Linked DNA regions of Anolis sagrei. The protein of the gene in region 1 binds, or shares a complex with, the protein of each later gene. Links are inferred from orthologs where the notes say so. Each region holds a gene or a part of one and is shown in the gene's direction. Other genes may lie near its edges.

Region 1 (7,685 bases):
CACCTATTTGTTTTGTGGGGAAGAAAGGATGATGGGAACAAGAGGGAAGTGGATGTTGGCCCATTTAAGGTACATGACCCCACTTTGCAACCCAGGTCCTTTTAAAGTTGGAGGGATGGAGCCCTAAAACACCCCATTGTGCTCTCCCAATTTAAGAGAAAAAATGGGCCACAGTAGCGCAGTGGTTAAAATTGCTAGCTCCAGAAAATCTGCTGTCCAGAGGGTTAGAAGTTCAAAGCTGCGAGTCAGGGTGAGCTCCCAGTTGTGAGCCCTAGCTTCTGCCTACCTAGCTGTTCAGAAGCATGTAATGCGAGTAGATCAATAGGTACTACCTCTGCAGGGAGGTAAAAGGGTGCCCCATGCAGACATGCTGGCAGCATCAGAGAAAGTCTATGGACAATAGGCTCCTCAGTATGGAAAAATGGAACAAGAGCACCTCCCCATGGCTGAAGATGAGCATCACCTCCAGATGCCGGAGATGGAAAGAGGGAGGCCTTTACTTCTGTCTGTGTTTTGCATGTTGTTTGTTCACTATGTAAAAAGGCATTGAATGTTTGCCTTATATATGTAAAACTGTAATCCTCTCTGAGTCCCTCTGGGGAAATAAAGCAGAATATAAATAAAGTGTATTATTATTATTATTATTATTACATGCCGAAATATCAAATATTCGACCAAGATTTAATTCTTCATGTAAAAATAAACAAATGCACCCATCTCATTAGTATGTATGTTCGCTTTCATCTTAAATAAATGGTAACATTATATGTAAACCAAAGAGTTGTTTTAAAATAAATTTCTTTCAATAAACATTTGCTTTCTATATCTATTTTATATACCTATATATCTGGGGTCATGTAAAAAAAAGTTCAGGGGAAAAGGGGCTGCAAGTGGGAAAACTTTAAAGAGCTCTGGCCTTGTCCATGCTTGTATTGTGCCTTCATCATGCCTCATGAATTCTATAGGGCTTTCTTGGGAAAGGAATACTAAAGATAGTTTTGCTGGTTCCTTCCTCTGAAATAGAGACTAAAGCATCTAGTATTTGTTGGTGGTACTTCCGTCCAAGTACTAACCAGGGCTGAGCCTGCTTAGCTTCCAAGATTTGATGGGACAGACTGGATGTGTTTTGATAATCTCCCAACTGAGATTAGCTTTGAGGAGAAAAGTATACTTTAAAAAGGCACAGCTTTTTTTTTCCAGAGTTGGTGCCACCTTGTGGCATTATTCAAATAAATGGCAAAAACTTCAGTCTGAAGCACTGAATACACTTTTTAGGGAATATGACTGACAAAAATGCACAAAACTTTTGATATGCAGGAGGAGGTAATGTTCACTTGTAGCAATCTGCCAAGAGAGATGGAAAGTGATAGGAAGCAAAGTGATAGACAGGAATGGAATGGTAGCCAGGCCTGAGAATGCAGTGATTTGAATGGTTTGTTAATAATACCTGTATCTTATCCTAATAACACATTGGTTCTTAAACAATTGGGCCCAACCTCAAATGTGGTCCCCTGAGCTCAATGCTGGAGTGCCCCCCCCCCTGCAAATGGCAACAGTAAAAGTCTTTCTGAATGCCATTTACATGAATCTGTTGTGCAGTGTTTACAGTAGTCTCTGCAGAAGATGCTTCAGCTGTACTTCATAAAAAGGAAACCCAGCATGTTTAGCCAACCTTGCAAATCCCAATTTTCTACCAGTACATTTTTGATGTTTATACCAATTTTGTATACCTATATATCTGGGGTCACATAAAATATGACTGGGCTAAAAGGGGTCTCCTAGGTGCAAAAGTTTAAGAAGCCCTGCTATAACATAAAGTCCCCAGGGAGAGTGAGGCCCCTTCTACACTGCCATATAAAATCCAGATTATCTGCTTTGAACTGGATTATATAGCAGTGGAGAAGAGGCCTGAGGCTGGATCTACACTGCCCTATATTCCAGGATCTTATCTCAGATGATCTGCTTTGAACTGGATTATATGAGTCTACACCGCCAGATAACCTGGGATAAGCAGATAATCTGTGATACAGGGCAGTGTAGATCCAACCAGAGAAGTAGAGAGAAAGATTGAGACAAAGTGTCTCTAGATTGGTTCCACAAAATGTGTGACTGAATGCCTCTTTACATCTGTTGATTGTACAGTAGGGTCTTGCCATTCACTGGGTTTTGGATACCAAAATCCATGGGTGTACAAGTCCCATTACACTATTTTTGTTCGTGGATTATAAATGTCATTTTCTAATTGGTTCTATCATAAGATCGTGGAAAAGGTTTATTAAACTTCGTTTTTTGCGGGACATCCTGCAACACATCTTGCTATAGTTTTTCAATTTCTCATCAAATCTCAACCAATTCAACACAGTTCGTGGCAGTCACAAAAAACGAAGTTTCTGGACTATGACAACTACTTTCAAGTAAGTACTGTACTATTAAACAGGAAACACTTTCAAACCAGAAACAGATTTTTTTTTTAAAAAAATGTTACATAGTGTTATATACAATGTCATGGTGAAATGTCACTTGCCTAAAATGGCAAAAACAAAACTTGCTTCTGCCTTTGTTTGTGTTTATGTGTCTCATTGTATATGATTGTAAATGCATTGACTATTTGCCTATGTTTGCCTGCTACTAAGAAGGATAATAATAATAATAATAATAATAATAATAATAATGGCTGTGATGGTCTGGATGAGGGCGAACAAGTTGAAACTGAATCCAGACAAGACAGGTCCTCCTGGTCAGTTGCAAGGCTGAATAGGGCATAGGGTTACAGCCTGTGTTGGACGGGGATACACGGGGGATTGCAGGTTCGCAGCTTGGGAGTGATCCTAGATTCATCACTGAGTGTGGAACCCCAGGTCTTGGCGGTGACCAGGAGAGCATTTGCACAGTTAAAACTTGTGTACCAGTTGTACCCATACCTTAGGAAGTCTGATTTAGCCACGGTAATCCACCCTCTGGCTACATCCCGTATAGACTACTGCAATGCTCTCTACATGGGGTTGCATTTGAAGACTGTTCAGAAACTTCAAATGGTCCAGCATGCGGCAGCCAGGTTGTTAACAGGAGCAGCACTCCCCTGATGCAACCCCCCTGTTGCATCAGCTCCACTGGCTGCCAGTCTGCTACCGGGCACAATTCAAAGTGCTGGCTTTAGCCTATTAAACCCTAAATGGTTTTGGCCCAGCTTACCTATCCAAATGTATCACTCCTTATGAACCATCTAGGACTCTAAGATCATCTGGGGAGACCCTGCTCTCGGTCCCGCCTTCGTCACAAATTTGGTTGTCGGGGACGAGGGACAGGGCCTTCTCAGCAGTGGCCCCTTGGCTGTGGAACACCCTCCCTAGGGATATCAGATCGGCCCCACCCTCCTATAATTTCGCAAAAAAGTTAAAACTTGACCTTTTGAGCAAGCATTTCCAAATGCAGTGTAGCAGACAACTCTGATCTACGGAACGACAATGCAATTGGATAATTATTTATATATCGTGTCAGGAGCAAACCAAAACAGTTGTATTGCATTAAACACAAACAAACAAACAAACAACACACAAAGTTTGCATACTTGGTATTCTACTGGATAATGATTGGATAATGATTTTAGTAATGAGATGCTGAGGATTTTGGTTTTTATTGGTTTTTACTATTTATGCCAAATGTTTTTAATTGTTTTATGTTGTTGGGGGCATCGAATTGTGCCGTTTGTAAACTGCCCTGAGTCGCCCTCGGGCTGAGAAAGGTGGTATATAAATATGGTAAATCAATCAATCAATAAATGTAGATGCTGTAATCTGCTCTGAGTCCTCTAGGGGAGAAGGGCGAAATATAAATAAAGTGTATGATGAGTCCTCTAGGGGTGTATGATAGTTATTATTGCTTTTGAGATTTTGTTTTAGTGTGGAGGGGGGAATATTTTAAATTTATGTTTGGCTGGATCCGTGGAAACAGAACCCGTGGATACAGAGATCTGACTGTCTACAAAAATAAAAAGAACTGGGTTGTTGTAGGTTTTTTTGGGTTATATGGCCATGTTCTAGAGGCATTTTCTCCTGACGTTTCGCCTGCATCTATGGCAAGCATCCTCAGAGGTAGTGAAAAGTAGGAAAATGGGTTTATATATCTGTGGAATGACTGGGGTGGGACAGAGGACTCTTGTCTGCTGGAGCTAGGTGTGAATGTTTCAACTGACCCCCTTAATTAGCATTTGATGTCTGTTGGAACTAGGAAAAGGGGGTTTATATATCTGTGGAATGACCAGGGTGGGACAAAGGACTCTTGTCCACTGGAGCTAGGTGTGAATGTTTCAACTGACCACCTTGATTAGCATTTGATGGCTTGGCAGTGCCTGGGGGAATCTTTTGTTGAGAGTAAACAATCAGGCACATCTAATCAGCTCTCAACAAAAGATTCCCCCAGGCACTGTCAAGCCATCAAATGCTAATTAAGGTGGTCAGTTAAAACAATACAATAAAAAAGAACATTTGAATCCCGATTATTTGGAGAAAGGAGAATCAAGACGGAGGGGAAGAAGACATTGAGTGTGTTCAAAGGGACAGAATACTAAACTAAATAATCAAACGTGCTAAGCTCCCATAGAACTGGCTACACTGTATCTCCGCTTTGAAACAGAGCGGAAGTGCTCATGGAGTGGAGGCGCTCTAGCTCAAGTTCCCTCCGAGCTCGTCTCTCCGAGAAAGGAAGTGAGTTCTGCCTGTGAACCCACGTGGAGCACCTGGATTAGAGTCGGTAAGAATCAGGGCTGTTCATTAGATTAGGCTCAGAGCTTACTTAAGATTTTTTGCTTTTTAGGTGTGCATCTACACTTGGGATTTGAAGTTTGGTGAGACACCAGCTCTTAAGGCAGGCATGGACAAACTTGGGCCCTCCAGGTGTTTTGGACTTCAACTCCCACAATTCCTAACAGCCTACGGCTGTTAGGAATTGTGGGAGTTGAAGTCCAAAACACCTGGAGGGCCCAAGTTTGCCCATGCATTCTCTAATCCCAATGCTGTATATACAATGGCATAGTTGCTTATATAAAATAGTAAAATCAGGGCTCTTGCTTTTTAAATTATGTGTGTGTGTGTTGGTGCCATGTGTTGTTGTGGCCCAGTCTAGTGATCTGGAAAACAAAGTAATGAGAAAGTGTTGGTTTCTAATATATAACTAGCCGTCCCCTGCCACGCGTTGCTGTGGCCCACATGGGTGTTCTGTGTGGGAGGTTTGGCCCAATTCTATCGTTGGTGGGGTTCAGAATGCTCTGTGATTGTAGGTGAACTATAAATCCCGGCAAATGTCAAGATTCCATTTTCCCCAAACTTTACCAGTATTCACATTTGGGCATATTGAGTATTCTTGTAGAGTTGTGGATCCATCATTGCTTGAGTCCACAGTGATCTCTGGATGTAGGTGAACTACAACTCCAAAACCAAAGGACACTGCCCACCAAACCCTTCCAGTATTTTCTGTTGGTCATGGGAGAACTGTGTGTCGTTTGGTTCAATACCATCGTTGGTGGGGTTCAGAATGTTCTTTGATTGTAGGTGAACTATAAATCCCAGCAACTAGAACTCCCAAATGTCAAAATCATATTTTTTTTTTTAGTGAAGGACATACATTGGGTTGTTAGGTGTCTTGTGTCCAAATTTGGTGTCAATTCCCCCAGTGGTTTTTGAGTTCTATGAATATCAAAAACGAACATTACATTTTTATTTATATAGATAATGATGTAATTTCTTTATGCTTGCAGGTAAATAGTATTTCTTGTTGTTTCTTTGTCAGTGTTGATTGTCTGGTTTGCCTACTCTGAAACATGCAACATATAATTGTTCTTCTTTAGGGACCTTTTGAAAATCTATGATACAATATCTGTCATATACATATGTCTCTGTGTGTATAGAATCATAGAATCATAGAGTTGGAAGAGACCTCATGGGCCATCCAGTCCAACCTCCTGCCAAGAAGCAGGAATATTGCATTCAAAGCACCCCTGACAGATGGCCATCCAGCCTCTGCTTAAAAGCTCCCAAAGAAGGAGCCTCCACCACACTCCGGGGCAGAGAGTTCCACTGCTGAACGGCTCTCACAGTCAGGAAGTTCTTCCTAATGTTCAGATGTGGAACCCTAACCCTAACCCTCAGCTCAGGAAGCTGGGGAAGTTGGATGGCTCTTTGTCAGGAGGGCTTTGATTATGTTTTCTTGCCCTGGTGAAGGTTGTTGGACTAGATGGCCTTAACACAGCATTTCTCAACCTGGGGGTTGGGACCCCTTGGGTGGGTCGTCAGGGGGCGTCAGAAGGATTGCCAAAGACCACCAAAAAACACAGTATTTTCTGTTGGTCATGGGGGTTCTGTGTGGGAAGTTTGGCCCAATTCTATCGTTGCTGGGGTTCAGAATGCTATTTGGTTATAGATGAACTATAAATTCCAGTAACTACAACTCAAGGTCTATTTACCCAAACTCCATCTGTGTTCACATTTAGGCATATGGATTATTCGTGCCAAATTTAGTCTAGATCCTTCATTATTTGAGTCCACAGTGTTCTCTGAATGTAGGTGAACTACAACTCCAAAACTCAAGGTCAATACCCACCAAACCCTTCTCGTGTTTCCTGTTGGACATGGGAGTCCTGTGTGCCAAGTTTGGTTCAATTCCATCGTTGGGAGAGGTCAAAATGCTCTTTGATTGTAGGTTAACTATAAATCCCAGGAACTACAACTTCCAAATGACAAGATTAATTTTTTAGTGATGCTCACTCCTTGGATTAGTAGGTAACTTGTGACCAAATTTGCTGGCAATTAGTCCAGCGGTTTTTGAGTTGTGATGTTACTCAAAACGAACATAGCCTTTATAAATAGATAGATAGATAGATAGATAGATAGATAGATAGATAGATCGATAGATTCAAGTCATGTATAGTTGAATCTGTTGATGTGGGCTCTCTGGATACAGAGGGATTCTAATCGCACAGGAATTATAATTAAAGGATGCTCAACCTATACATCTTCCCTCTCCTACAGTCTGTCTTCTCCTTGGTCAATATGGAACAGAATAGTTCCTGCTTTGAGTCAGAACTAGATTTCTGTCCTGAATGTGGTACAGTCCTTCCATTACCAGGTCTTCAGGATAAGGTGGCATGTCGCTATTGCGCCTTCTTCATTGATGTGCAAGGTAAGGGCTTTCTGCCTCTAGAATATTCCATAACCGGAGGTGGGGTATTTAGTAAACATGTTTTTTAAAAATGGGTGAGTTAGAGTACATATGCTTCTTATCTACACATGTGTTTATTAACTTCACAGAATTTGAAAAGAGAGTTATTGATACATCAGTCACCTTCAACAGGACAGATACCACATCTTCGGAAGTGGATGGAGGAAAAGCAGTCAAAGGACCACTGGTGAGTGAATGGGGAAGTGAAATGAGTAATTATAATGCTAATAATTTCATGTGTCTATAGCAAAACATATGAAATCCTATTTCCTTTTATCATGGCTGGAGAACCTGTGGCCATTTAGACTGTAGTTTCCATCAACCGTAGCCAGCTTGATCAGTGATGATGGATGATAGAAGAAGTCTTTGATCAATATTTGGGGGTGCCACAAGTTCCCCATTGTGCTTTATTCCAAAGGGAGAACAAGATGTGTCAAAAGGACTGGTGGTGTAGTGCCATGTAGGCTGTGCTA
Region 2 (6,914 bases), on another chromosome or scaffold:
AAGCTGAGCTCTGATTTTTTAACTTTTTAAGCCCTTTCTGCAGTGTTTTTCAGTGTTTTTATGAGTGAAGGTCACTCGTTGGCCTGATAGGTGTATTCACACCTAGCTCCAGCAGGGAAGAGCTCTTTGCCCCACTCCAGCCATTCCACAGATATATAAACCCATTGTCCTAATTCCAACAGACCTCACTACCTCTGAGGATGCTTGCCATAGATGCAGGCGAAACGTCAGGAGAAATGCCTCTAGAACATGGCCCTATAGCCCGAAAAAACCCACAAGAACCTAATAAGAAATACTGTTTACCCACAAGTATAAAGAAATTACATATTATTATTATTATTAAACTTTATTTGTACCCCGCTAGCATCGCCCGCAGGACTCGATACGGCTTACAAAGGCCAAGGCCTCAACACAACAACAGCAAAACAATAACAGTACAATTTAAAGCAAAATAAAAACATAAGCAATAAAAACAATACATCAATTATGCAATAAAAACCAGGGCCAGGCCAGTGATGGGTACAAGTTAAAAAGTGCTGGGTCTGGCAGGTGGTATTTGGATTTCCGGGCAAGTGCAATGTGCAGAGAGTCTTAAACTCTAATAAAGTGCTTCTGGGACGTAGTGCTGGAGATTATCCTATTCCAGAAAGGCACATCGGAATAGCCAGGTCTTCAGATTCTTCCTGAAGACTGCCAACGTGGGTGCTAGTTAGTCTAATGTCTTTGGGGAGGGTGTTCCAGAGTCAAGGGGCAACCAGAGAAGGCCCTGTCCCTCGTCCCCACCAAACATGCCTGTGATGCAGGTGGGATCATAAGCAGGGCCTCTCTGGATGAACGAAGGGATCGTGTGGGTTCATACACGGAGATGCGGTCACGCAGGTAGGCAGGTCCCAAACCGTTTAGGGCTTTGTAGGTAAGCACCTGCACCTTGAATTGGGTTTGGTAGGTAAACGGCAGCCAATGGAGCGCCTTAAATCTCTGTGTGTGAATCATCTATATAAATAAAAATGTCAGGAGGGTCTTGATTTACGTTTTCTTGCCCTGGTGAAGGGACTTGGACTGGATAACCTCAAGTATGGGGGTTCTGTGTGGGAAGTTTGCCCCAGTTATGTCGTTGGTGGGGTTCAGAATGCTCTTTGATTGTAGGTGAACTATAAATCCCAGTAAGTACAACTCCCAAATGTCAACGTCTATTTCCCCCAAACTCCATCTGTGTTCACATTTCGGCATATGGAATATTCGTGGCAAATTTGGTCCAGATCCATCATTGTTTGAATACACAGTGCTCTCTGGATGTAGGTGAACTACAACTTCCAAACTCAAGGTCAATGCTCACCAAACCCTTCTAGTGTTTTCTGTTGGTCATGGGAGTCCTGTATGACCCGGTTGGTTCAGTTTTATCATGCGATTGTAGGTGAACTATAAATCCCAGCAACTACAACTCCCAAAAGACAAAATCAATTTTTTTGAGTGAAGGACATACATTGGATTGTTAGGTGTCTTGTGTCCAAATTTGGTGTCAATTCGCCCACTGGTTTTTGAGTTCTGTTAATCCCACAAACGAATATTATATTTTTATTTATATAGAACAGGGGTCCTCAAACTTTTTAAACAGAGGGCCAGGTCATGGTCCCACAAAATGTTGGAGGGCCGGATTATAATTTGAAAAAAACATGAATGAATTCCTATGCACACTGCACATATCTTATTTGTTGTGCAAAAAAAACCCCACTTAAAAACAATACATTAAAATGAACAATTTTAACAACTATAAACTTATTAGTATTTCAATGGGAAGTGTGGGCCTGCTTTTGGCTGTTGTGATAGGATAATTGTTGTTGTGTGCTTTCAAGTCACTTCAGACTTAGGTAGACCCTGAGCGAGGGCCAGGTAAATGACCTTGGAGGGCTACATCCAGCCACTGGGCCTTAGTTTGAGGACCCCTGATATAGAAGATAGAAGAAGATTGATAAGATTCCCATCCAAACCCAAGTAACGAAGGTAGTATAATCCAATTTAATATAATCTAAGTGCAAAGATGACTGCAGATGCAGATTGTGGCCAGGAAATCAGAAGACGCTTACTTCTTGGGAGGAGAGCAATGTCCAGTCTCGATAAAATAGTAAAGAGTAGAGACATCAGACTGGCAACAAAGATCCGCCTAGTCAAAGCCATGGTATTCCCTGTAGTCACCTACGGATGTGAGAGCTGGACCTTAGGGAAGGCTGAGCGAAGGAAAATCGATGCTTTTGAGCTGTGGTGTTGGAGGAAAGTTCTGAGAGTGCCTTGGACTGCGAGAAGATCCAACCAGTCCATCCTCCAGGAAATAAAGCCCGGCTGCTCATTGGAGGGAAGGATACTAGAGACAAAGTTGAAGTACTTTGGCCACATCATGAGGAGACAGCAAAGCCTAGAGAAGACAATTATGCTGGGGAAAGTGGAAGGCAAAAGGAAGAGGGGCCGACCAAGGGCAAGATGGATGGCATCCTTGAAGTGACTGGACTGACCTTGAGGGAGCTGGGGGTGGTGACGGCCGACAGGGAGCTCTGGCGTGGACTGGTCCATGAGGTCACGAGGAGTCGGAGACGACTGAACGAATGAACAACAACAACATAATCCAATTTAAAGCAGAAAACCTGGGACTGAAGGCCTGTCTGGGAGGGCCTATAGACAATCTTCTTCTATGTATTGTCGAAGGCTTTCATGGCCGGAATCACTGGGTTGTTGTAGGTTTTTTCGGGCTGTATGGTCATGGTCTAAATCTTCTTCTATTTACAAATCGGAGCAGAAAATAAAGGCAATGGAATCCCATACTATTTATGATTATTACTTTAAGGCGGGGGAAGAGGACTGCATAGATCTGGCTGAACCCGCCTACCTCTCACCATAAAAAATACACCTAATGGCGTCTTCGTCTGCGCGTCAAAGAGTCGCTTTTGCGCATTGGAAGCGGCGTTAATTTGACAGACAGCTCCCAAAGCCGAGGATTGGCTGGAGCCGGAGATGACGCCCTTAACAACAAAGGTGGAGCTCGGAAAGTAAAAAAAAAAAAAAAATTTAAAAAAGAGAGAGACAGAAACGAGGAGGGAGGAGGGGAAAAAAAGACAAGCTTGCCTTTTTGGCTTTGGAAAAACGTCATGATTATTAATTTTTTTTCCCCCTCCACAAAAAAATCAAAAGAGGAGTGTCCCTTTTGGGTTTGTTTTTTTTCTTACTAGTTGTTTACAAGTCAAACAAAAGAGGGACCCTTTAAAAAAAAAAGATGGCTCAGTTGCAAAAAAAAACATGTCCGCAGTGGCAGAAAAGAATGGTTTGCTTTGGGCATCATAGAAACGGATCTTTTTCTATCTCTCTTTCCTTTTGAAAAGAGAAAGAGAGAAAAAAGGGGGAGGTCTCAGGAGGAATTAAAAACCCGACTGCAGTGCGTGTGTGATTTGTGATCCCCGCCAAAAGGAAGAAGAGACGGAGAAGAGGAGAGGATTTGTGGCAAATGTAGGGCTTGGCCCCCTCCTCCTCCTCCTCCCTTCCTTCTTTCTCTCTCTCTCTTTTCCCCCCTCCCTTCTGGTTGGAGTACAACAGTGTTGCACAAGCAAAAGAGCAATAAAAACACAAGAGAGAAGCAAAAAGGAAAGGCGGACAGAAGAGCACAGAGAGGGAAGAGAGAGGAGGCGGGGAGGAAGCAGCCAAGATGGGTCCTGCCTTGGAGGAGAAGGAGAAGAAGGAGGAAGGGAAGCAGGAGCAGCTCTGGCCTGAAGGATCCGGATTGGAAGAGAGAGAGAGGAGGGAGAGAGAGAGAGAGAGAGGAGGCAGAGGCAGCAGCAGCAGCAACAGCGAGCGCGATGGAGGCGGGGGAAAGCCGCGCCAGCTCTCTCTGCGGGGACGGGAGCGAGGAGTCCACGCCCGGGGCCAGCGCTGCAGAGCTGGCGTGCAGTCAACCCGCGCTCCTCCGGAAACAACGAGCCTCTCTCTGCTGCCTTTTCCCCGAGAAGCAGGTAAGAAGGCCAGGGGACGAATAGGGGGGTCGGTCTGTCTGGGGAGATGTTTCCCCCCGCGGCAAAGGCGAGGAGTGGGTGGGCGAGGAGGGGAGGGGGAAAGAGGGAGAGAGGAAGGCACGATCCGAAGTGGAGGAGGAGGAGAGCCTCTGCTTGCTGCTGCTGCTACTCCTGCTTCCTCCTCCTCCTCTCTCCCTCTCTTTCCTGCAGCCGGGGCTTGGCTCGCCATTGAGCCGAGGGTGAGCACCGCCATCTGGGGAGGGAGAGGGAGGGAGAGAGAGAGAAGGAAGGAGGCGCTTTTGTTGCCGCTCCGGAGGAAGCAAGCAGGCGAGAAGAAGGGAAGGGGAAGGCAAGGCAGGCGAGGTTCTTGCAGCAGCTGCAAGCAAACAAGAAGGGAAAACAGGCAGGAGAGGCTCTTGCAGCAACGGTAAGCAAACTGGGGAAGAAAAACACAACCCGTTCTTTACTTTTGGGGATATATTGATTCGAAAGTCGGGGGTTTTTTTGCCACGCGGCTGCCGAAAGCAGGAAAGAGAAGGGCCACGAGTGGCGGCCATGGAAGAAAGGCTCTTCTTTGGCAAAGGGACTGAATCGCTTCTATTCTTCCCTAATATAAAGTCTAAAATCTTCCCTTTTTGTGGTGTCAAAGAGAGACTGAACTCCTAATTTCCCCTCTTTATAGAGCCTAAATCCTCCCCCTATAAAATCTAAATATTCCCCCCTTTTCAGAGCCTAAATCCTCCCCCTATAAAGTCTAAATATTCCCCCTTTCCCCACCTTTATGGAGCCTAAATCCACCCCCTATAAAGTCTAAATTTTCCCCTTTGGCGGTGGCAAAAAGAGACCGAACCCACAATTTCGCCCCTTTATCCTCCCCCTATAGTCTAAATATCCCCCCCCTTTATGGAGCCTAAATCCTCCCCTATAAAGTCTAAATTCTCCCCTTTGCCGGTGTCAAAATAGAGACTGAACCCCCAATTTTCCCTCCTTTATCCTTCCCCTATAAAGTCTAAATATTCCCCTTTTTGTTGTGTCGAAAGAGAGACTGAACCCCCAATTTCCCCCCTTTATCCTCCCCCTATAAAGTCTAAATCTTCCCTCCTTTATGGAGCCTAAATCCACCCCCTATAAAGTCCAAATCTTCCCCTTTTTGCGGTGTCAAATGAGAGACTGAACCCCCAATTTCCTCCCGTTAATCCTCCCCCTATAGTCTAAATCTTCCCCTTTTTGCGGTGTCAAGAGACTGAACCCCCCCCCCCAAATTCCCCCCTTTACCCTCCCTCTATAAAGTCTAAATCTTCCCCTTTGGCGGTGTCAAAAGAGACCGAACCCCCAATTTCCCCCACTTAATCATCCCCCTACAAAGTCCAAATCTTCCCCTTTTTTCGGTATCAAAAGAGAAACCGAACCCCCAATTTTCCCCCCTTTGTAAAGTCTAAATCCTCCCCGTTTTTGTTTATTTTGACCCCCGACTAAAAAGGGAATCCTTAAATGTATTTTGGAAGTGAAGGCCACCCTATTGTGCCTTTTCTGTGCAAAGAAAGCAACGCCAATGGGTGCTTATTGGTTTGGGGTGTTTTCTTCCCAATGGGTGCACGAGGGGAGGCGCTCCCCGGGGGGATCTGGGCGAGGAAAGGCCGCGAGGGTAGCGGGAGCCACCCTCGCGGCCTTTCCTCGCCCAGATCCCCCCGGGGAGCGCCTCCCCTCGGTAGGCCTAGCTTCGCAGCCCTTCCGCCGGCCATGCCTTCTTCCTTCATGGCTGCCTGCCTCGCTGCTCTCTCCTCTTTCTCTCTCTCCTCGCCTCCTCTCCTCTCCTCTCCCTCCCGCCGCCCCCCTTCCTCCAGCCGCGGCTCCGATGGGGCTCTTGCTGCAGCGGCTCCTCTCTCCGGCTCCTGCTGCTGCTGCTGCTCCTCCTCCTCCCCTTTTCGCTTTTGCCACAACGAGGCGGGTTCGTCCTTCCTTCCTTTTGAGCGGCGGCGAAGGCAGCAGCAGCCCTGGCTTCGGCTTCTCCCTTCTTCTTCTTCTTCCCTTTCTTTCTTTCTTTCTTTGCGGAGGCGCCCCAGAGGTTGGTTTCTCCACCAAGGCGGCTTGTTTTGGGGGAGAAAGAAGGGGAAGAAGAGGGAGGATGTAGTAAGAAAAGGAGGGAAGGGATTCGGATTGGGAAGGGGGATATTAGAAGGGAATGGGGTTGGGGAAGGGAAAATATAAGAAGGGAATGGGTTTGCGGTTGGGGAAGGGAAAATAGAAGGGAATGGGGTTGGGGAAGGAAAAATTTATGAAGGGAATGGGGTTGCGGTTGGGGGAGGGAAAATATAAGAAGGGAATTGGGTTGGGAAAATATGAGAAGGGAATGGAGTTGGGGAAGGGAAAATATAAGGAGATAATGGGGTTGGGGAAGGGAAAATACAAGGGGTTTGGGGAAAGAAGGGATTTGGGGTTGGGGAAAATTTAAGAAGGGAAGGGAAAATATGAGAAGGGATTTGGGGAAATACAAAAAGGGATTTGGGGTTGGGAAAAAGCTTCCGATTGGGATTGCAAATCGCATAGAGGCGTGTATTTCAGTCGAGAAGAAAGCTCCTGGTTGGAAATAATAAGGAAGGGATTCGGGTTGAGATAATTTGGAGGGGGGGGGACATAGGGAGGTAGTTTAAGGGAAGGGATTTGGGTCGAAATGAAGCCTCCGATTTGGGGAAAATAATATAATATAGGGAAGAAAAAGAGGCACGGTTTAATGGAAGGGATTCGGATTGAAACCAAGTTTCGGATTGAGGTTGAAAATATAAAGATTTCGGTTGGGAATGGGGGGAAAATAATACAATATGGGGAAGGAAATGAGGTGGTTTAATGGCGGGGATTTGGTTTGAGAGGAAGCTTCCGATTGGGATTGAAAATTAATGGGAAAGGGAGGCACAATCTAATGGA
Region 3 (7,624 bases), on another chromosome or scaffold:
CATGGGAGTTCTGTGTGCCAAGTTTGGCTCAGTTCCATCATTGGTGGATTTCAGAATGCTCTTTGAGTAGGTTAACTATAAATCTCAGCAACTACAACTCACAAATGTCAAGGTCTATTTTCTCCAAACTCCACCAGTGTTCACAATTGGGCATATTGAGTATTTGTGCCAAGTTTGGTCCAGATCCATCATTGTGTGAGCCCACAGTGCTCTCTGGATGGAGGTGAACTATAACTCCTCAACTCAAGGTCCATGCCCATCAAACCCTTCCAGTATTTTCTGTTGATCATGGGAGTTCTGTGTGCCAAGTTTGGTTCAATTCCATCATTCGTGGATTTCAGAATGCTCTTTGTAGTTTAACTGTAAATCCCAGCAACTCCCAAATGACAAAATCAGTTCCCCCCAACCCCACCAGTATTCAAACTTGGGTGTATCGGGTATTTGTGCCAAATTTGGTCCAATTAATGAAACTACATCCTGTCTATCAGATAATGACATTACAATTCATAACAGTAGAAAAATTACAGTTATGAAGTAGCAACTAAAATAATATTATGGTTGGGGGTCACCACAACTTGAGGAACTGTATTAAGGGGCCACAGCATTAGGAAGGTTAAGAACCACTGTCCTAGGTATTTACAGAGTGTTATAATCCCAGTCTGGGATGTCTTTGGGACCAGTCGCTCAGAGGTCTGTGCAGAGGCTGTGTCCGCATAGAGACACGGCGAAGAGGCCTTCCATCCTGACTGTGGGCCTTCCGTAGCCCTTGTGTAGTAGGCATCATGGAGGCTGCCGGGGCAGGTCGTTGCCGTGGGGCCTTCTGGATGGCACTGCTCTTCGACGCGGCGGGCCTGTCGCTTCTGCTGCTGGGTTCCTTCGTGGACGTCTTTTTTGCAGACCTGCTAATCTACAGCGGGGGCGTGGGCCTGCTCTTCAGCCTCCTTTGGTGGGTCTTCTGGTACGTGGGCAACATTGAGGTACCGCCGGATGAGCTGCAGGATGACATAGGCTTGGGCGAGGAGGCCATGCCCGCGGCGATGGAGGCCGAAGCGACAGGCCGTGCCTGGCGGGTCCGTTTCATGGTCCGCTCCCTTGGCAGGCACCTCTCGGGCTCCTTCCACTCAAAGCCGGTCCACTCTGACAAGAAGACTGAGGCTGACTCTGCCGTTGGAGAGACAGTGACCGGTAGCCCGCCGTCGCAGAAGAGGCTAAGATTTTGAAGAAGATGCGCCATCCACGCTTGCTTGTTCCAACGACGATGTCCACCTTAGCACAGCCAACGAGGCCTTCCCTTCTTCGGTCGCTCGTGCTTTTTCCTCACACAAAGTGGCTTATGAATAGAAAGAAGAGAATGCAAAAAGCAAAAGGGCAAACCTGGGCCCTCTAGATGTTTTGGACTTCAACTCCCACAATTCCTAACAGTCTCGGGCCCCTTCCTTTTCCCCCTCATCCGCTTAAGCGGTTGAGGGGGAAAAGGAAGGGGCCAGAGGCTGTTAGGAATTGTGGGAGTTGAAGTCCAAAACACCTGGAGGGCCCAAGTTTTCCCATGCCTGAGATAGGCCCACATCTTTTGAAGCAAGGATTTGAATCTCTAACTCCTGAGAAAGATTTGGTGAACATGTCGGCCTAGAAAAAGGCTAGCTGCCATAAGAATCCCTTCAAGGAGGAACAATAATGGCGGCTGTGGGTTTTTTAACTGTCAAAGTACCAGCTGGGCCGCATCTATTTCCCATATTTCCTACACTTTGAATTGTGGCCTCAAGTCGGTCACCGTTTCCAAGTTATTTAAAAAAATATACATATTGTCTTCTAGACCAGGTTATTTGGAGCCAATTCAGTTGGAACAAAAAGCATTCGTGAATTTATCCTCAACTAAATAGGATAAAGAGGCCTCTGCCTTCCCTCCCCGTGAAACGTTCCCATTTTTGTCTTCTCTAAATACAGCAATGCAGACGTTTCAAAACACTCAGATACAAGACAGGAAAGATAACTTGGCAAGACTTGCCATTGAACTTAAGAAGCCTTATGTTGCATTTCTACATGGCAGCTAATTCCCCAAAGATGATTATTGTATTTATGTATGTATTTATTTCTTATTTATAGGTTTTCTTTTTGCATTAGCAAAAAGGTTGCTATATAGGTTGGAATATTCACGACAAATGCATCTTTTAGTGCAAAATTAATACGAACATCGTTTTCGTCATCGGAAAATGGGATATTGTTGAGAAATGAATGCTTTCTTTGCCGAAAAACCATAGACTATGGAGCTACATCGCTTAACAAATATTTAAAATATATATATATATATATACTTTAAATATATGTGGGGGGGGGGGGGAATCCACTGCCTGTATCTTACGTGACATAAGACTTATTTGGTTGTTTAAATTAAAATGGTTGAAATTAAAGATAGCTTTGAATTCTGAATAAAAAAGAATTTATGTTTTTTAAAAACCTTTCCCATAGTAGTATAGAGGAAAATAATATTAATACTTCCAAGGATGTGGATGCCCGTATTTTAAGCGTAGATGTACGAATATCGTTCTAAATAGAAGCAAATGTTTTATTTATTATGTCAGAAGTGATTTGAGAATACAGTTATAATGTATTTTAAAAACCACAAAGTTAAAAACTTGGCATTATAATAAATGTCCTTTGACCATTAGTGGCCACTTGGAGTACCTCTGATATTGCTGTAAAAAGGTCCGCCATTGTGCATGTGGTGGGACTCAGATTGCATTGTAGTAAGTGGTCTGTGGTTTGCTCATCTCCACACTTGCATATTGCGGACTCCAATTTGTAGCCCCATTTCTTAAGGTTGGCGCTGCATCTTGTGGTGCCAGAACACAGTCTGTTCAGCGTCTTCCATGTCACCCAGTCTTCTCTGTGCCAAGGAGGGTGTTTCTCATCCGGTATCAACCACTGATTGAGGTTCTGGGTTTTAGCCTGCCACTTTTGGACTCTCACTTGCTGAGGTGTTCCTGTGAGTATCTCTGTAGATCTTAGGAAGCTAATTCTTGATTTAAGGCGTTGGCGTGCTGACTGATATCTGAACAGAGGATGGGCTGGAGATGTCACTGCCTTGGTCCTTACATTATTGACTGCTACTTCCCGACAGATGCCAGGTGATGCAATACCAGCTAAATAGTACAATTTCTCCAGCTGTGTTGGGCGTAGACATTTTGTGATAATGTGGCATGTCTCAGTTGGAGTCACATCCACTGTTTTAACGTGGTGAGAAGTATTCCACACTAGACTTACGTATTCAGCAACAAAGTAGCAAAGTGCAAGGGCAGATGTCTTCACTGTCATAACAGAAGCATATAATAGATAGATACATAGGAGAGGATTACTTTGCTGGATCAATAAAACCACAGTTATTATTATTATTATGGAGAAGGTAATAGGCTGGATGAGGAAAAACAAATTGAGATGAACCCCGAACACGACAAAGAGGCTTGCCAACAAGGGTCCTATCTCTGTACAAAGTTTGGAAACACCAGTTCTAAATTTTTCAACCTGGAGGTCAGGGCCCCTGGGCGGTTTCATGAGGGGGTTTCAGAGGGGTCATCAAAGACCATACAAAACTTCTATGTGAGAAGTTTGACCCAATTCTATCATTGGTGGGGTTCAGAATACTCTTTGATTGTAATGAACTATAAATCCCAGCAACTACAACTCCTAAATGTCAAGTCTATTCTCCCCAAATTCCACCAGTGTTCACATTTGGGCATATTGAATATTCGTGCCAAGTTTGGTCCAGATCCATCATTGTTTGAGTCCACAGTGAAGTACAACTCCCAAACTCTAGGTCAATGCCCACCAAACCCTTCCAGGATTTTCTGTTGGTCATGGGAGTTCTGTGTGCTAACTTTGGTTCAATTCTATTATTGGTGGAGTACAGAATGCTCTTTGATTGTAGGTGAAGTATAAATCACAGCAACTACAACTCCCAAATGACAAAATCAATCCCACCCAACCCCACTAGTATTCAAATTTGGGCATATCGGGTATTTGTCTAATTTGGTCCAATGAATGAAAATAAATTCTGCATATCAGATATTTACATTTATAACAATAGCAACATTACAATTATGAAGCAGCAACAAAAATAATGTTATGGTTGGGGGTCACCACAACATGAGGAACTGCATTAAGGAGTCGCGGCATTAGGAAGGTTGAGAAACACTGTTAGAGCAACACGGGAAGGGTGTGTCTTTGGTTGATGAGCATTGGTTTATGGATTCGGCAGAACATACGCCTGGATAATGAATGCGTAGAGGTCTCCAGACTTAAAGCTGATGCTGCATATTCAAATATGTGTGAAAAGGAATGTAAAAGAATCTCAATCTTGTTCCAAATAATCCATAGAAGCATATATAGCAGGCATGGGCAAACTTGGGCTTTCTAGGTGTTTTGGACTTCAACTCCTACAATTCCTAACAGCCTACCGCCTATAATAATCCTTTTTTTACTTATGCTAGGAGGTCTGAAGTTTGCCCACGCACAGATCTCACAGACACAGTGTGAAGAGATGATGGGGAAGTTCCACGCCTTGCCGCAGGGGGCGCTAGTCCGCTCTCCTCCGGACCAGGCGCTGCTTCCAACTTCCGGGGACAGAGCAGGAAGTGGAGGCCTTTCCGGCTTGGGCGTGAAGAGCATGGACCCCGCGGAGGCTTTCGGAGGCTTCAGACCTTGGCGGAGGCTTGTTACTCAGCAGTGGTAGTCCGAAGGAGGGCGCCGCTGAACCAGGGTGAGTTGGGCCGGGTCCTAGGGGCATCCTCACTGTATACTACACGCAGTTCGGCACGTCTCAGTGAGCCATGGGAGCCATGTCTGAGTGCTGTGTGGGGAGTCAGGGGGATTGGCAGCTTCTTGAGCCGCCAGCACTCTTGGGCAGGGCACGGCCTTGGAAGACGACGACTGTTGTGAATAACTGTTCAATAACATTAAAGCGTAAGTTCTTATTATGCAATTTTCCAGTATGTGAAAGGGTATCAGAACTGTGTTGTTGAAGGCGTTCATGGCCGGAATCACTGAGTTGCTGTGAATTTTCCGGGCTGTTTGGCAATGTTCCAGCAGCATTCTCTCCTGACGTTCCGCCCATATCTATGGCAGGCATCCTCAGAGGAAACTAGGCGAGGTTTATATATCTGTGGAATGTCCGGGTTGGAAGAAAGAACTCTTGTCTGTCGGAGGAAACTGTGAATGTTTCAATTGGCCACCTTGATTAGTATTGAACGGTCTTGCAGCTTCAAAGCCTGGCTGGTTGATGCCTGGGGGAATCCTTTGTTGGGAGGTGTTAGCTGGCCCTGATTGTTTCTTGTCTGGAATTCCCCAATTTTCTGAGTGTTGTTCTTTATTTACTGTCTTAATTTTAGAGATTTTTAATGCTGGTAGCCAGAGTTTGTTCATTTTAATGGTTTCCTCCTTTCTGTTGAAATTGTCCACATGCTTCTGGATTTCAGTGGCTTATCTGTGTAGTCTGACATGTTCGTTATTAGAGTGGTCTAGCATATCTGTGTTCTCAAATAATATGCTGTGTCCAAGTTGGTTCACAACTGAAAGAAAGCTGTTCCAGTGCCTTAGTGCTCTGGGGTTTGGGTCATCACTCTCCAAGCCTCAAACTAGTTTCAGTATTTCCTGTGTAACCATCTGCACAACGAAACCTCTTCCTTTAATACCAGCTTGAAACTGGTTTAAGTATAGATAGGGCCCCAGTATAAAGTGGTTAGATGTTAGAAATTGATTTTGGAAACTAGTGGTCAGCATTTATGTGAGTGAAATAACACCACAGAAAGGAATTTATTGAAAGATGGGAAGTCTGGACCGAGAATGGGATAGAAAACTAATTGATTACATGGAGCTTTCACATGTGATGGAAACGTAGATGTCTCTCAAAAGAATCCAAGTGCTAATGGAGGCCCCATCTATACCGTCATATAATACAGCTACGACTGCATAGATGGGGCCTTAGTGCCACATCCCTGTCCAAGGCGAAGCAAAGATTCCTGTGATCCTAGTCACAGTAAGGGACTAATATGCACTGCGGTGACTTTCACTTCTTGTACGAATACTAGAGAGAGTAAACAATATAAAAACAAATGGAAGCAGTTCATGATACTTGAAGCCACTTTTCTGTCCTTTGCTCCCAAACTAGTCAGGATTCTGTTTTTATGATCTTGGCCGGTATTATTATTATTATTATTATTATTATTATTATTATGTTTATTTATACCCTTCTATATCTCTCCCGAAGGGGACTCAAAGCGACTAAAAGCTGCAGTAAAACCATGTTCTATGCTGTCTATGTCATGGGAAGTTTTTACTTTCTAATTAGTGTCCTTGCTTGGGATGGAGTCAAGAGGAGCAAATAAACAGCACAGTTTTCAGGAATGCAAGAATTGTGATGACCTGACCTCTTGGGTTAACATGAATACTGTCTTGTGTGCCTCCAAACTCAAGTTTGACTTACGGCAACTCGAAGGCAAACCTCTTTCATATGGTTTCCTGGCAATATTTGCCCAGAAGGTCTTTGTCACTGCCTTTCTCTGTTGTTCAAGGACAAGCCGTGGGCTTCCCTGGCTAATCCAGGAGTCAGACCTTGGTCTCCCAAGCCATAATTCAACATTCAAACTACTATACCACATTGGCTTTAAATATAGCTTGCATATTTCATCTTATGATTTCATTTGTTGTTTAGACTTTCTAACATGCTGTCTACAGATGAATTTCTGAGATCGCCACCAAGGAAAACAGTCAGATTTGGTGGATCGTTGGCAGAAATCCTGCTCAAATATGAAAAGGTAACATTACTGTACCCAATTATTAATCATAAGTGTTGCTGTTCTGATGTGCAAATTGAAGGGTCACCTTTTTGTCTGGGAAGTTTGGCCTTGGATAGTATATATAAGTTATTCATAAGAAATCAAATAGCAAAACCAGAGTTAATTGTTCCATCTTTATTGTACATGTTTAGATAAGTTTCTCGACGTCACCCCTTGTGAGACATAGAATATGTTGTCAGGTTACTCCTTGCTGTTTTTCTCTTCTTAGGGAGATACCATTGATTTTGATTTGTTGAGGCATCAGCTGTTGGATCCTGACATTAAAGTAAGTTTTTTTTCCATCAGAGTTTTAGGTAGTGTTCAGCGATTTAATGATTTCTTACATTTAAGATAATGAAATGTTTCAATCACTTTTGCCTGTTCTGACTTGGACATGTTGTTTATAATTCTTATCAGTAATCTGATTCATTCAAACATTCCCTAACCATATTTTAGAGTATTGATCTAAACAGACTTGTAATGCTTGTCACTTTATAATTTCTACACATGTTTGCCACATTGAGTTATTAAATGAAATTGTTTCTGTTTTAAGGATGACCAGATTATTAACTGGTTGCATGAATTCAGGTCTTCTGTGACACATTTGACCAAGGATTTTGAACACCTGGTCACCATCTTGTTGGTAAGAATACACAAATCGTTTCTGGGTTTTGTGGATGAATTTTATTCATTCTTTCTAGTACATGGGCTTAATTTTTATGCTTGTATGTATAATAACAATGCAGAAGGTGTCATGGCTAAGAAGAAGCCCAGCTGTAGTGGAAGAATACTTGGCT
Region 4 (6,908 bases), on another chromosome or scaffold:
AGTTAGTAAATGCTGGCTGTGTGAAATTCCCATCCTTCAAAGCAGGACAACTTACCAAATTACTTGGAAGACCAGCAATTGCTTCAAATGAAGTGCTTCATTATTATTGGAGGAGGGAAAGTAAAACAAAGAAACCAATAACCCCCCCCCCCCAAGAGAACTACTAGTAGTAGTATCCTAACTAATTAATAAGTTAATTTGAAGCAAAGCATGGAGTTCACACAAAAGCAATGAGCACTGAGTCTAGTAACATTCTATGTGCGTTCTTCCTTCCTTCAGGAGCAGGCAAGGGGACAGACACAACTCTTCTCATGACACAACCAGCTGGAGAGTCACTACAAGGGCGTTGAAAGGAGGCAAGAGGAGGAGGAGGAGGAAGAGTGTGCCCAATGGAAGGGGGGTTTAAAGCGGGGAGGGAGAGGATGGTGTCCAAGGAGCAGCGCTGAACTCCTTCCCAGCGTTGCCTCGGAGAAGAAGGGAGAGCTCTGCAAAGAAGCATCAGCAGCCACTTCTCCTCTTCTTCTTCTTCCTCTTCCTCCCTGTTGCTTCAACCGGCTGCCCTCGTGCGCCTTCCTCCTCAGGGTTTCCCTCGCTCCATTTTGAACTACCCGCCTTTCCCAACTGATTAGGCTTCTCCCCTCCTCTTCCTCCTCCTCTTTGGCTGCCAAGGAGAGGAAGCCACAACAAGAAAGCCCAGCCAAGAAGGCAGCAGCAGCAGCAGCAAAGCGCCCAAGAGGCTTTCCTGCACTTCTTAGAACTGAGCCAGGGCAGTGAAAGTGACCTCAAGCTACATTGTTCCTACAATGTAATCCACAAATGTCAAAGTCATTGTCATTTTTGTTTGTCGAAGGCTTTCATGGCCGGAATCACTGGGTTGCTGTGAGTTTTCCGGGCTCTATAGCCATGTTCCAGAAGCATTCTCTCCTGACGTTTCGCCCACATCTATGGCAGGCATCCTCAGAGGTTGAGGGGTCTGTTGGAAACTAGGCAAGTGAAGATTATCTATCTGTGGAACGTCCAGGGTGGGGAAAAGAACTCTTGTCTGCGGATGTTGCAGTTGGCCACCATGATTAGCATTTAACAGCCTTTAATTGCAGTCCAACACACTTCTGGTTCTCATGTTGGGGAAAGGATAAGAGATATTTTCAAGTCAGACATCATATCCATAAGCTTTATATCTAAATTCAAACCCTTTTTCTCCAAACTAAACAGAACGAATTGCAGCCTTCCAGATGCTACTGTATCACAGTTCCCATCAGCTCTAGTCATGATGTCTCAAGAGGAGGAATGCAGGTATTGTAGCCCAGTGTCTATCAAAACACAGATGCACCCAAAGAATTGGTGATTTATTAAGGGGAGCCCCCAGTGGCGCAGTGGGTTAAAGCACTGAGTTGCTGAGCTTGTTGATCGAAAGGTCGCAGGTTCGATTCCGGGGAGCGGCGTGAGCTTCCGCTGTCAGCCCTAGCTTCTGCCAACCTAGCAGTTCGAAAACATGCAAATGTGAGTAGATCAATAGGTACCGCTCCGGCGGGAAGGTAACGGCGCTCCATGCAGTCATGCCGGCCACATGACCTTGGAGGTGTCTACGGACAACGCTGGCTCTTCGGCTTAGAAATGGAGATGAGCACCACACCCCAGAGTCAGACATGACTGGACTTAATGTCAGGGGAATACCTTTACCTTTACCTTTACACCAGGCATGGCAAACTTTGGCCCTCCAGGTGTTTTGGACTTCAACTCTCACAATACCTAACAGCCAGTGCTGTTAGGAATTGTGGGAGTTGAAATCCAAAACACTTGGAGGGCCAAAGTTTGACCATGCCTGTTTTACACTGTACAATTAATGCAGTCTGATACCACTTCAACTTTCAAGGCTTATGGGAATCATATTTTTCCAAGGTCCTCAGCCTTTTCTGTCACAGGGCTAGTGCAGTATCAAACTATAACTCCTATGATTTCATAGCATTGAGCCATAGCAATTAAAATACTCTCAAATATGTTAGATAAGAATGGGAATCACCTCCTCCTCTTTTTAAAGGTGTGATTGGCCCTCCTTTGGGCCAATGGTGAGGAAAGCTGAAAATTGGAATCCAGTAACATGTGGGGTTCATCTGCACTTAATACAGATATATCCCATGTGTTGCTGGTGGGTTTGACACAACTTTAATGACTACGGTCCAATGCCACGGAGTTGTAGTTGCTGGGATTTATAGTTCACCTACAATCAAAGAGCATTCTGAACTCCACCAATGATGGAATTGAACCAAACTTGGCAGACATAACTCCCATGAGCAACAGAAAATCCTGGAAGGGTTTGGTGGGCACTGACCTTGAGTTTTGGAGTTGTAGTTCACCTACATCCAGAGAGCACTGTGGACTCAAACAATGATGGATCTGGACCATACATGGCACAGATACTCAATATGCCCAAATGTGAACACTGGTGGAGTTTGGGGGAAATGGACCTTGACATTTGGGAGTTGTAGTTGCTGGGATTTATAGTTCCCCTACAATCAAAAAGCATTCTGAACCTCACCAATGATAGAACTGGGCCAAACTTCCCACACCAAACTGTGTTTTCTGATGGTCTTTGGTGACCCCCCCCCCCAGGGGTCCCAACCCCTAGGTTGAGAAACGCTGCTCTACACTATAGGATTGATGTAGTTTGATACCACTTTAACTGCCAAGGGCTCAGTACTGGGAATAATTTATTTATTATTTATTTAGAGCTTTTATAACCCTGTCTTCTCAACCTCTGAAGAGGGACTCCGGCCGGCTAACAGCAGAAAAGCTACCTATCTAACCGCATCTCGGCCTATGAACCTACCAGGACTTTGAGATCTTCCGAGGAGGCCCTGCTCTCGATCCCGCCTGCTTCTCAAGCACGGCTGGCGGGGACGAGAGATAGGGCCTTCTCGGTGGTGGCTCCTCGGCTGTGGAACGCCCTTCCTACCGACATTAGACTAGCATCATCTCTAATGGTATTCCGCAAAAAAGTGAAGACCTGGCTGTTTGTGCAGGCGTTCGAATAACTAGTGCAATGATTGGCAATGTACATAGGAATGGACAATGGATGACGAATCTGGATTATGTTTTGGACGATGAGACGATAGTGATTGGTTATTGTAGTAATTGTTTATTGATTGGGTAATGTGTTAAGTTGGTAATTGTTACATTATTGCATTGAATTATTGCTGTTTGTATTGATTGTGAACCGCTGTGAGTTGCCTTCGGGCTGAGAACAGCGGTATATAAGCAAAGTAAATAATAAGTAAATAAATAAATAAAAGTCAACACAAATATAGTAAACATAACAGCATCGTAATACATTAAAATACAGATCATACAATATCATACAAGTACAAAAGTCAGGTCGTCAGAATAAAATCACAATAAAATCATGGAAGTTGTAGTTCGACAAGGGCTTTAATCTCCTCTGCCAGACTGCTCGGTCCTCATGATTCCAGAGCAATTAGTCATTGCAGTTAAAGTGGTCTCAAACTGCATTAATTTGATAGTGTAGATACACCTAAAAAAGCCTAAAGCTTTCACTCTGATGTGAAATTGTAGTTGATATTAAGGGCCCTTCCAAACAGTCATATAACCCAGAATATCAAGGCAATATCTGCTTTGAACTGGGTTATCTGAGTCCACACTGCCATATATTCCAGCTAAAGCAGATAATGTGGGATTTTATTTAGCTGTGTGAAAGGAAGCAAAGAAAGCAACTGCTTCTTTAGTAAAGGTTAAGTTGCCAAGGCAAAGAAAATCAGTGTTAATTTTCAGCCTGTCCCTTTAAGAAAACATCGGAGAGGAGCAAATTCAAAACGCCTCCATGTGTCTGAATTGGAAAACTACTCCTAATGGAAGGGGCGGAGCTTAGGGTTTCTCTCCCCTTTGCAGAGCTTTCAAACGTCATCAGACTGCGCCGTCAGAGGAAGGAGTGCATGAGTTGTGCACGAGCTGGTAGGGCGCATTGTTTTCAATCAGATTGTTGATGGGAATTTTGTTTAGACGGGGCTGAAAGGGACTTTGGAGCACTTTAAGAGCATCTACACCAGGCATGAGCAAACTTGGACCCTCTAGGTGTTTTGGACTCCAACTCCCACCATTCCTAACAGCCTCAGGCCCCTTCCTTTTCCCCCTAAGCCGCTTAAGCGGCTGAGGGGGAAAAGGAAAGGGCCTGAGGCTGTTAGAAATGGTGGGAGTTGGAGTCCAAAACACCTGGAGGGCCCAAGTTTGCTCATGCCTGGTCTACACTGGATTTGAAGCAATTTGACACCACTTTTAACTGTCATGGCACAATACTATAGCATCAGGGGAGTTATTTTATAAGGTCTTCAGCTTTCTCTTCAAGATAATGCTGGTACCTTAATAAACTACATCTCCCACGAGTCAATTATATGGAGTCGTGACATTTAACAGTGGTATCAAACTGCATCAATTCTGCTGTGTAAATGCACCCCCCAAAAATGAAATTGATACCAGTTGAATAGCTCTTATTTGAAATGTTTGGATCCAGAAATCTTTTGGAGGAGATTTTGGAATGTCCGTATTTGCATAGGTGTACATAAGAAGACCTTGAAGGAGCTGGGGGTGGTGACGGCCGACAGGGAGCTCTGGCGTGGGCTGGTCCATGAGGTCATGAAGAGTCGGAGACGACTGAACAAATGAACAACAACAAACATAACAAGATCTCTTTCAGCCCTTCCGCACGACCATATAACCCAGAATATGAAGGCAGATCACCCACAATATCTGTTTTGAACTGGATTATTTGAGTCCACGCTGCCATATAATCTAGTTCAGTGTGGATTTTATACTACTGTGTGGAAGGGGTCTTAGAGATGGGACCCAAGTCTGAACATGAAATTCATTTGTGGGTTGTTGTAGGTTTTTCGGGCTGTATGGCCATGTTCTAGAAGCATTCTCTCCTGACATTTTGCCTCTGACATCCCCCTGTGACCCCCAGGCTGAAGAAACGCTGCTCTACATTATAGGATTGATGTAGTTCGATACCACTTTAACTGCCAAGGCATCCTCAGAGATTATGATGTTCAGACCTCACAACCTCTGAGGATGCCTGCCATAGATACAGGTGAAACATCAGGAGAGAATGCTTCTAGAACATAGCCATATAGCCCGAAAAACCTACAATGACCCAGTGATTCCAGCCATGGAAGCCTTCGACAATACAAATTCATTTGTGTTTCGTATAAGCCGTTTAGACAGTTTGTATATATTGAACCAGCAGAAAACAAAGGCACTGTTATTTCAACTGCCCTTGAAAACAGTTTGGATTTTAGAATTGCATATAAGGAATGCTGAACGTGTACCATAAGTTTTCACAAATTGGGTTGTTGTAGGTTTTTTCAGGCTGTATGGCCTCTAGACCATGGCCATACAGCCCGAAAAAAACCTACAACAACCCAGTGATTCCGGCCATGAAAGCCTTCGACAATACATTTTCACAAATTGTCTGCTTCCTCAGATGCATGGATTCCTTGAAAGTCCATGAAAGTTTATGCCAACCTTGTTCTCTTAGGGCCCTTCCACACAGCCATATAACCCATAATATGTACTTTGAGTTGGGTTATCTAAGTCCACACTGCCATTTATCCCTGTTCAAATCAGTTAATGTGGGATTTTATTCAGCTGTGTGGAAGGGGCTTCAATGAGACTCTAAGATGCTCCAAGATCTCTTTGCATATATGTTGAGTCTCATTTCCCTCTCTGGGCTTCTTCTTTGTAAACACATTAACAGTAAGATTGAAGGATGTTTGAAGGGCTGAAGGACGCTCTATGTGTTTGAAAGCTGTAATTGGTATGAATGAGTTGTCTTCCTTTTACTAGCAGAAGATGGACACCCAGACTGATGCACCTCCACCAAAGCAGCAACCAATGATATACATCTGTGGAGGTGAGTCCAGTGCAATGTCATTGTAGTAGGAAGAAGTCTGAAAATGAGACCCAAGAAAGTAGATGAAAATGACATCAAGGGTACTTCTAGAATACATTTTCACTCTGAAATTGCACTCCCTCTTTCTGGAAGCTTATGGGAGCTCTAGACAACAATGTCTTATATTTGTATCCTCCAGAAATAAGATTTGTTTCTTCTACCTTTCCTCATCTAAATTCCTTTAAGGATTAAAACAGAATAGAAGCACAGCTACTTTCATTCACTGGAATTATTCTGCTAAATCATTTGGGAAATTATTATTTGGGTATTGTGCTTATGATCATGGCCCAAATTGTCTTTAGGTAAATGAAATCACACAGCATTAAGTCATGGCAGCTAAAGTGGTGCCAAACTACATTTATTCTACAGTGTGTAGATGTATTCTTTTCTGGGCGTACTGCAGCTGCGTTGTTTTGCTTTAACATTTATCTGGTGCATACTCTCTACTACAAATCCATGTACTATCAGTGCACTGTGGGAAGGATACTAGTTTGTGTTTCAAAGACTGTAGTTCATGGTATATAAATATATTGTGTGAGCTGCATTGAGGATACTAAAAAACTCCTATATTAATGTATTGTTTTAACAAATTCCAACTTGTGAAATGTTAAGATTCTTTCATAATCACAGTGAACTTAAATTTATAGACTATGATGAGAGGTTCTTAATTCCACTATTTTAGTAAATAAATCAGTCAAAATCTGTACTTTTAAACAAGAATGTTTAAAAATTATAAAATGTCAAGTGCTTCTGTTGCTTTATTCTCAGTTCTTTTGCAGTTGGTTTCCAGGATTGGCCTCATAATGTAATTCTTTTTCTTCATTTCAGAATGTCACAAAGAAAATGAAATTAAAGCAAGAGATCCTATCAGATGCAGAGAATGTGGTTACAGAATAATGTACAAGAAAAGAACAAAAAGATGTATCCTTCTATATGTGTGTCTTCCTTG

Evidence for each region.
Region 2: POLR1H (region 1) and UBTF share a complex: the UniProt entries of both Homo sapiens proteins name them as parts of the pol I pre-initiation complex. The link is inferred for Anolis sagrei from reciprocal best matches to the Homo sapiens genes POLR1H and UBTF.
Region 3: POLR1H (region 1) and RRN3 share a complex: the UniProt entries of both Homo sapiens proteins name them as parts of the pol I pre-initiation complex. The link is inferred for Anolis sagrei from reciprocal best matches to the Homo sapiens genes POLR1H and RRN3.
Region 4: POLR1H (region 1) and POLR2K share a complex: the UniProt entries of both Homo sapiens proteins name them as parts of the pol I pre-initiation complex. The link is inferred for Anolis sagrei from reciprocal best matches to the Homo sapiens genes POLR1H and POLR2K.

Annotation. Positions count from the first base shown.
Region 1 is NC_090022.1:23,170,741-23,178,425, forward strand, and holds the start of POLR1H (DNA-directed RNA polymerase I subunit RPA12), read left to right. Parts: upstream 1-4,669; 5' UTR 4,670-4,749; intron 4,750-7,022; 5' UTR 7,023-7,043; coding exon 7,044-7,173; intron 7,174-7,301; coding exon 7,302-7,399; intron 7,400-7,685. UniProt on the Homo sapiens protein: Core component of RNA polymerase I (Pol I), a DNA-dependent RNA polymerase which synthesizes ribosomal RNA precursors using the four ribonucleoside triphosphates as substrates. Can mediate Pol I proofreading of the nascent RNA transcript.
Region 2 is NC_090026.1:44,541,060-44,547,973, forward strand, and holds the start of UBTF (nucleolar transcription factor 1), read left to right. Parts: upstream 1-3,900; 5' UTR 3,901-3,992; intron 3,993-4,288; exon of another isoform or gene 4,289-4,419; intron 4,420-5,870; exon of another isoform or gene 5,871-6,057; intron 6,058-6,914. UniProt on the Homo sapiens protein: Recognizes the ribosomal RNA gene promoter and activates transcription mediated by RNA polymerase I (Pol I) through cooperative interactions with the transcription factor SL1/TIF-IB complex.
Region 3 is NC_090034.1:24,534,198-24,541,821, forward strand, and holds the start of RRN3 (RNA polymerase I-specific transcription initiation factor RRN3), read left to right. Parts: upstream 1-4,604; 5' UTR 4,605-4,753; intron 4,754-6,703; 5' UTR 6,704-6,713; coding exon 6,714-6,806; intron 6,807-7,056; coding exon 7,057-7,113; intron 7,114-7,380; coding exon 7,381-7,470; intron 7,471-7,573; coding exon 7,574-7,624. Other genes in the region: transmembrane protein 238-like, read left to right, coding at 783-1,220. UniProt on the Homo sapiens protein: Required for efficient transcription initiation by RNA polymerase I (Pol I). Required for the formation of the competent pre-initiation complex (PIC).
Region 4 is NC_090024.1:31,136,478-31,143,385, reverse strand, and holds the start of POLR2K (DNA-directed RNA polymerases I, II, and III subunit RPABC4), read left to right. Parts: upstream 1-3,887; 5' UTR 3,888-3,966; intron 3,967-5,853; 5' UTR 5,854-5,859; coding exon 5,860-5,920; intron 5,921-6,787; coding exon 6,788-6,880; intron 6,881-6,908. UniProt on the Homo sapiens protein: DNA-dependent RNA polymerase catalyzes the transcription of DNA into RNA using the four ribonucleoside triphosphates as substrates.